2 linked regions of the Ovis aries genome follow. The main gene of each other region encodes a partner of the protein of the gene in region 2 in a complex. Links are inferred from orthologs where the notes say so. Each region holds a gene or a part of one and is shown on either strand. Other genes may lie near its edges. The genes, in order: BRPF3 and KAT6B.

Region 1 (3,820 bases), on a different chromosome or scaffold from region 2:
TGCCCAGATGCAGGCATCCCCCTCCCTCTACAACCTCTTGGCCATGGAAGGTCCCAATAGCATTTGTGCAGGCAGGGAAAAGAATAATAATAAAATAGCAGTAGCAGCAGCAGCCACCATTTATTGAGCGCTTACTATTTGCCAGGCACTGTGCTGAGTGCTTTACTTATACTATCTTACTGATTTCTCCCAATAACCCTTTAAGGTAGGCTCATTTACAAATAAATACACTAAGGCTGAATAGAAGTTAAGCGACTTGCCAAAGATCACACTGGTAGTGACAGAAGTTCAAGGTTCAAATGCAGGTCTCTCTGGTTCTTAGTCAGCAGGACCCTGCTGGACCCTGCAAGAAACCACCTACAAGAGCAGACCTGACAACCAAAAAGTCTAGCCCCAGGGCATAACCACCAGGGGACTAAGCATGGACCCACTCATCCAACAGAAGCGGGGAGCCTAGAACAGCTCTGTGACTAGAGGGCCCATTTCCTATTGACTAAATCTAACTCCAATCATGGTTCACAAGAGCCTCTCCCTCTGGATCTTCTGTCTTCTTGTCTTCTTTCCAGATGGACAAGTCTGACTGCCTGCTTCCCGCAAACAACTCACTTTCCTCTGCCCACCAGTACTCCTTTCTCCCTGTCTCTTACACAAAGAGAGACAGACAGACAACAGGAACAGAACCTAAAGGCATCATGAGCCCCAGCTGGTGGTCCAGGGTCTGTCACTTTCCCTTGGTTCCTTCCAGCCCTTAGAACAGGACTTGGCATATAGTAAGTGCTCAATAAACATCTCGTTGAATGAATAAAGGAGTGAACAACTTTACCTCCCGTGGCCGCAGTTTCTTCATCTGGGGGTGTGGGAGAAGGTGCAAGGACTATGTTAGATGAATAATCTCCGAGACTCCTTCCTGCTCTAACACTGCAGTCTTTTTAATGAACATCAACAATGAGATGAGCCTCCAATGGAAAATCTTCCCTGTCTCTTGCTTCTCTGCCAAGCTCCCATCCCTCCAACAGCTCCAGATACCTCTCTGATTATTTAAAACAGGCTTGGTGGGAGCCAAAGTTTCTTAGTTATACTGCAGAACTGATCTTTCCTCTACATCTAAAAGTTTCTTAGGAGGAGACACAACATATCTTTCCCACACAATAACCCTCTTATGCAAAGTCCCCATCATTCCCAGGATGGAGCTTTCTGGACAGCAGATACCCATACTGACCCTTTGAAACAGAGGTTCTCAATTGGAAGTAGTTCAATCCCCATAAGGTTACTAGAAACGTATGTAGGGAGCATCTGAGGTTGTCACAAAGATGAGGCAATTAGGGAGGAGATGTGAATGGCACTCACACAGACCAGGGATGCTAAACATCAAGAAATGTATGGGATGGTCCTAATAATGAATTACCTCCTATCGAAAATGCCACTGGTGCCCTGTTGAAATATTACCTTAGACATCCCGTCGCCTGGGTTTCTAAGCAACTTAAGTGTGTGTCTCACCTTGAACCAAAGGAAATACATTGCTTTGAAGGGCACAATCAAAACCACAAACCAGACTGGGCGAGCCCAGGGTCCAAAGGAGAAATCTAAATCTGAGAGCACAGAAGAGAACAGGAATTCACCAACATTAGGGAAGGAGGTCTGGCTCAGGGCCAACACCAGCCCAAGAAGAAACCATGTGTCCCCAGGGAGACATCCTGGGCAGGCTCACCTGTAAGAGGGTATCCGTGGGACAGTGACCATGGGGACAGTGGAGGTCGTGTCTCGACCCACTTCCTCTGGCTCCTTCTTGATCCTTTGCTTCAAAGCCATCTTGTTCTTCTTGGACACTCCCTTGAGGGGGCCACCTACCCCACCCTGCCCTTCACCTTCCTCCTCCTCTTCTACCTCTTCCTTTTCTTCCTCCTCCTCACAGGCCTCCTTCAGCCCTTCCTCGTCCCCTGCCTCACTCAGGCTTCCAGGAGAGTCGCCCTTCCTCCTAGCAGTGGCAGCACCTGGCGGTGAGTGGGCCTCACAGTAGGCAGTCTTGCGCACTGTGAAGATGGTGCCATTGAGGCTGGTCTCACGCATAGGCTCAATCTTCATGAAGAGCCCGGCCCTCTGTGCACACGTCACGTGGAAGGCCGTGTAGCAGTTCACCTTATGGCACTGGATGGCTGCACCTAGCCCCTTCTGCTTGCAGATATAGCAGGTTAGTTTCCAGCGGGCAGGTGGGATGTTGTCGATGCCCTCAATGGGCTCCAGGAACACGGTGTTAGCAAAGCAGACTTCAGGGATCCAGATGGCACACACCACATGGGCCCAGTGCCCATCACTGGTCTGTTTGAAGGCGCCACCCTTGTTGGGGCAGAGGACGCAATCCACAGGCCGGGAGGGAGACTGTAGGCAGCAGCGGCATAGCCACTGGCCCTCAGGGATGTAGGGGACACCATAGCACTCCTGGTGGACAGCCAGGTTGCAGATGTCACAGAAGAGAATGACGTTGCTGTTGTGGCATTCATCATCCAGGCACACACAGCAGAAAGCATCTTCATCAATGAGTGACTGTTGGGCCCCACTACTGCGACTTTCCAGGTACGATTCCTTCTCAAGCCGGTCCACCAGCAGCTCAAAGGTGTCTGCCGACACCAAACTGTACCCATCTGCTCGCCGCTTCTCGTTTACCAAGTCCAGCCAAGCGAGGTCCTCCTCATCCATGTCATACTCGACTTCTGCATCCAGATCTTCAGGTGACTTTTCAATGTAGCGGTAGTAAGCAGCAGGCAGCGGGGGTGCTTCTGGCTGACTGCCTGAGTCCACCATGCGGAAGCTGGGTTGCGGGAGGTGGAAGGAAGAGCCAGATGCATGCTTGGAGCAGGACTCCTTCTTTTTGCCCTTGGATGAGGGTTTTTTGGACTTGCCAGGGAACTGAGGCTGCTCACTGTTTTCCTTGTTACTATTGCATTCGGTGATATCCTGGGCAGTCAACTCATCCTCTGTGATGATCTTGAGCGGATCATAGATGCTAATACGATGCAGGCGTCCATCGATGTCCACCTCCACAATCCGCTGGGCCTGGGCATACGTCAGGGTCTCCCGAGTGGGTGAGCACTTCAGACTATAGGGGGATGGGGAGCGCCGGCCCTCGGCATTCGGCCGCGACTTCCGGCGAGGCTTCCTCATGGCACCTGGGAACCAATGAGACAGACCTAAGGAGAGAAGGCCAGGAGACTGAGCTGGATGGTTAGGCACGCATGCACTCATTCACCTTTCCTTCTGATCAGGTGGCCACTGGTAAACTGGCTATTTCCTCAGCCTGAGCACCCTACCCTTCAGGCATCATTTATAATGGCTTGCTCCTTCACCTCTTCCAAGCCTTTCCATAAACAGTGCTTCTCAGTCAGTCCCTCTCTGACCATTCTACCCAAAACTGCAAATCTCTTTCCCTCATCAGTCATCTTTCATCCTGCTTTGTTTTTCACTGTTACTTACACTCACCAATTTTTGCTGTGCTATTTAATTTACTTATTTGCCATGTATATTTTCTTCCTTCCACTAGAATGTGGGCTTTCCAGGTGGAACTGGTGGTAAAGAACCTGCCTGTCAATGCAGGAGATGTAAGATAGAAGAGATGCAGGTTCAATCCTTGGGCTGGGATCCCCTAAAGGACATGGCAACCCACTCCAGTATTCTTGGCTGGAGAATCCTGTGGACAGAGGAGCCTGACAGGGTACAGCCCATTGGGTCGCAAAGAGCCAGACACAACTGAAGTGACTTAGCACAGTACAGCACTAGAATGTAAGGTCCATGAGGAGAAGGATTTTTGCTTGTCTTGTTTCCTGTT
Region 2 (3,557 bases):
GAACCAAAAGATAAAATCTTGACACCAAGCCCAGACTGCTTCATAACTGTGGGAGAAAAATATTAAGGGTGAGTGAGTGCACGAGGCAAAGCCCTCTATCGGGACCCGTGACCCCGGGCTGTGTGCGCTGTCCTTTCCACGCGGGTGCCGTCAAGCGTTCGTTTCTAGGCTTGTCACTTAATCATCAAATGTTTTAACAGTCAGACAGGGCTTTCTCTGAATGCCATAATGTTTGTGAACAATGACTTTTCCCCCCCTAAACTTTAGACTCTAAAAATAACATCCAATCACTCATTCATGACAGAGCAAAACGTGCATGCTTATTCAAGAAAATGATATTTCAAACATTCAAGTCCAAATTGGGTGCTTTTTTTTTTTTCCCCTGGTATTACTGTTTATAAAAATGAAGTTTGCTACCAATGGACTAGGCCCTGAGGGGATTTTATACAGACTGTACAAACGAGGCAGCTGGATATCTGGGCAGGATCCCTTTGCAAATGAAGATCAAAGTCAAAAAGAAAAAAACAAATTCACTTTATTTTAAAGACAATGATTGGCATACAGAAGGTATGCACTAGCATAAAATAAACTTTCATGAAAAGCATTAAAATCCATTATAAATTAATTTATTAAATAGGTATTTGGTATATGTGATGGTTTTATTAGATATTACTCTTATTTATTGCCAACCCCTCCCACAAAGTCAAAACAAATCAGAAAATCTCTTAACTCCGATTTACACTAAATAATTTATTTTCCCGAAATGTGAATGTGATCTGAGGTGTGACATGATATACAGTTCAGTTGGTCATTCTCTATCAATCATAATATGACAGGACACAAGAGGCTAAAAATGGCTCATCATAATTTATTTTATGTTAAAATGTACAGCTTTTTTTGTTTGTTTTTGTTTTTTTTTTTTTTTGAAGTGACTGACTAAAAAGAGAACAGATAAATACAAGAGTGTCGCTGGCTCCTATTTTATACAAGGATTACGCCTCTCCTGCTTGGCCCTTACAGTCACCCTGTACAGGTACAAAGGCTACAAAAAAGGAAGCAATATAAACAGACACAAATAACTTTTTTTTGCTTTTTTTACATGCGATTGGTAAGCTTAGTTTGAGCTATTCACAAGCTACTTCTCTATTTTTCCTTAAAAAATAACTCCAATATTTTATAAAGATAGAAAAATCTACAGATGGAATGAAAATGTAAAGTTAGAGGCATTTCCATAAAATAGCAACTTTACACCAAATTCACTATTTTTTTAAATCCTGCCAAGTATTTGGACATATATGAAATGTTTCAAAACCTGACAGATAAACACTGAGATATGCTTCATTCAATAAACAGAAGTCTGCATTTATAAAACAGAAAGCTGCCTTTTTTTCCCCAAAGAAATCTGTCACCAAAATGGAAAAGGGTCTCAACTTTACACCAAACATTTAGCAATAAAACCCTTTTGACTAACCAAATGGGAATAGCTTTTATAGCTCTTTACAGTTTTATAATTAACAAAAATATAGTTTTTTTTTTTAAACCCTCAAGTTAGGGCACCCTAATCAAGGCAAAAAACTTAAGAAATGGCTTACTGTTAGCACAACACTTGTACAGTACTACAAAATGCACTGTCACTAACAAAGACATTAGCGGCATGCTGAAGTGTCACCTCAAACAAAATATACAATAACTGAAAATGGCAAAGGCATTTACATGGAGTGGACAGGGAAGAAAAAAAAAAGCTCTAGGTTCAGTATTAAAACAGAGAATTTGGGGTGGGGTGGGGCTTGATATCCACATTATTTAATGGAAGCAGTCACAGCGAGTGGCTGCCTCCATATGTAGTCCAAAGAGAGGCCTTCCTTTGCAGAGAATTTCATATAAAAAAGTAACAGAAACAAAGGTACCAAAAAGGAAAAAGGAAAAAAAAAAGATAAAAAGAAAAACAACTTTATAAGGCTTTCTGCTGCATACAGCTTTTTTTTTTTTTTTTTAATAATAAATGGTGCCAACAAATGTTTTTGCATTCACACCAATTGCTGGTTTTGAAATCGTACTCTTAGAAGGTATTTGTGCAGATCAATCCGAGAGAGATGCCCAGGGGTTCTGTGACTGCCCCTGTTGCCTACCGTCTCATGTAGGACCCATTGAGAGACTGTTTGGACATGCCTGTGTTCATGTAGCCATGGTGTCCGGGGGCCGTGTACATCATGTTACTGTGGGGCGGGGTCTGCATTGGCTGCTGGGCGTATGGCTGGGTCCCCATCATGCCCATCTGCATCTGCATAGGGTACTGGGGCGTCTGATTCATGTAGCCATGGTTGCTGTGGTAGCCACTATTCATCATCGGCTGGGACATGCTGTACCCGTTCATGGCATTGAGAGTGTTCATGTTCATGTTCACAGAGTTGACATTGTAGGCTGGGGATGGCATCAGGTTCACACTCATATTCATGCCCCTCTGCATCGTTAAAGTCCGTGCAGGACCCTGCATGGCTACAGTCTGGGAGCGCCCATAGATTTGCGACTGATGGGTGGCAGCGGCTGGTGACAGAGATGCCGATTTGGTTCTCATGGAGACGTGGCCCTTGCTGGCAATCTGGGTTTGCAGTCTTTGGCTGTGGGAGATGCCAATATTTGACGCAGCCATGTTCCGTTGCAACAGAGGTGGTGGCAGATTCATTGGAGGAGGAGTCAGGTTGGGGGGTGGGGTCATGGTAGCTTGTGCTTGGGGTCCCCCAGGGACGGAGTGTGGAGACTGAGAAAGCTGAACAAGCCCTGTGTTACTTAATGGTGTGGACAAAGAGGCACTGTTTGCATAGGAAGTTACAGCAGCGGAATGGCTGTAAGGCAATGAATGATCAATAAGTGTATTAGTTAACTGCTGTAGTTTGGCAAGGCTGAAGGTGGCTGACGGCTGTGGGTAATGCCCAGCCCCAAAATCACTCTGACCCATCCGTTCATATAAGCCAAGGTTGGCATTGCCAGTCTCGGGGATCTCGGCCAGCTGCATGGGCGGTGTGAAGTTCGCAGCCATGCTGCACTGCGCCAGCTGCTGGCTGCTGCTTGGCGGCCTCTCCACCACACAGCCTTGAGGAGACTTGACGCTGCAGGTCGGGGGGGAGCTGATGCTGGTCTGCTGCAGCATGCTGCAGCTCCCGCTGATGTTGGACATCTGCTGGGTCACAGCACAGCTGCTCTGGGTCAGACTGCTGGAGGTGAGGTTGCTGTAGGAGCAGCTGTTCTGTGAAGAGCCATTTCCACAAATGCTGCCGCCCATAGTAGAATCATAGCTGCTGGGGTTTTCGTAGTTCTCGGTTGTGCTCTCGATACTGCCCAGGTCACTGAACCCGCTGTCCACAACTTGCTGCGAATGATCCGAAACGGACGGGACGTCCATCATTGGACTGGTTTCCATGTTCTGCAGAGACGGCACTGAGATGGCACTTTGATCCGGGCTGATTTGGGCATAGCTGTTTTCCAGGGCAGGGACGCTTGGGCTGTTGACAGAACGTACTGACTGGCCAGGGTGGGAATGGACGGATGAAACTGGGCTG

The links.
Region 1: KAT6B (region 2) and BRPF3 share a complex: the UniProt entries of both Homo sapiens proteins name them as parts of the MOZ/MORF complex. The link is inferred for Ovis aries from reciprocal best matches to the Homo sapiens genes KAT6B and BRPF3.

The regions. Positions count from the first base shown.
Region 1 is NC_056073.1:10,232,289-10,236,108, reverse strand, and holds part of BRPF3 (bromodomain and PHD finger-containing protein 3), read right to left. Parts: intron 3,186-3,820; exon of another isoform or gene 3,165-3,185; 5' UTR 3,160-3,164; coding exon 1,709-3,159; intron 1-1,708. UniProt on the Homo sapiens protein: Scaffold subunit of various histone acetyltransferase (HAT) complexes, such as the MOZ/MORF and HBO1 complexes, which have a histone H3 acetyltransferase activity.
Region 2 is NC_056078.1:30,026,942-30,030,498, reverse strand, and holds the end of KAT6B (histone acetyltransferase KAT6B), read right to left. Parts: coding exon 2,126-3,557; 3' UTR 514-2,125; downstream 1-513. UniProt on the Homo sapiens protein: Histone acetyltransferase which may be involved in both positive and negative regulation of transcription. Required for RUNX2-dependent transcriptional activation. May be involved in cerebral cortex development.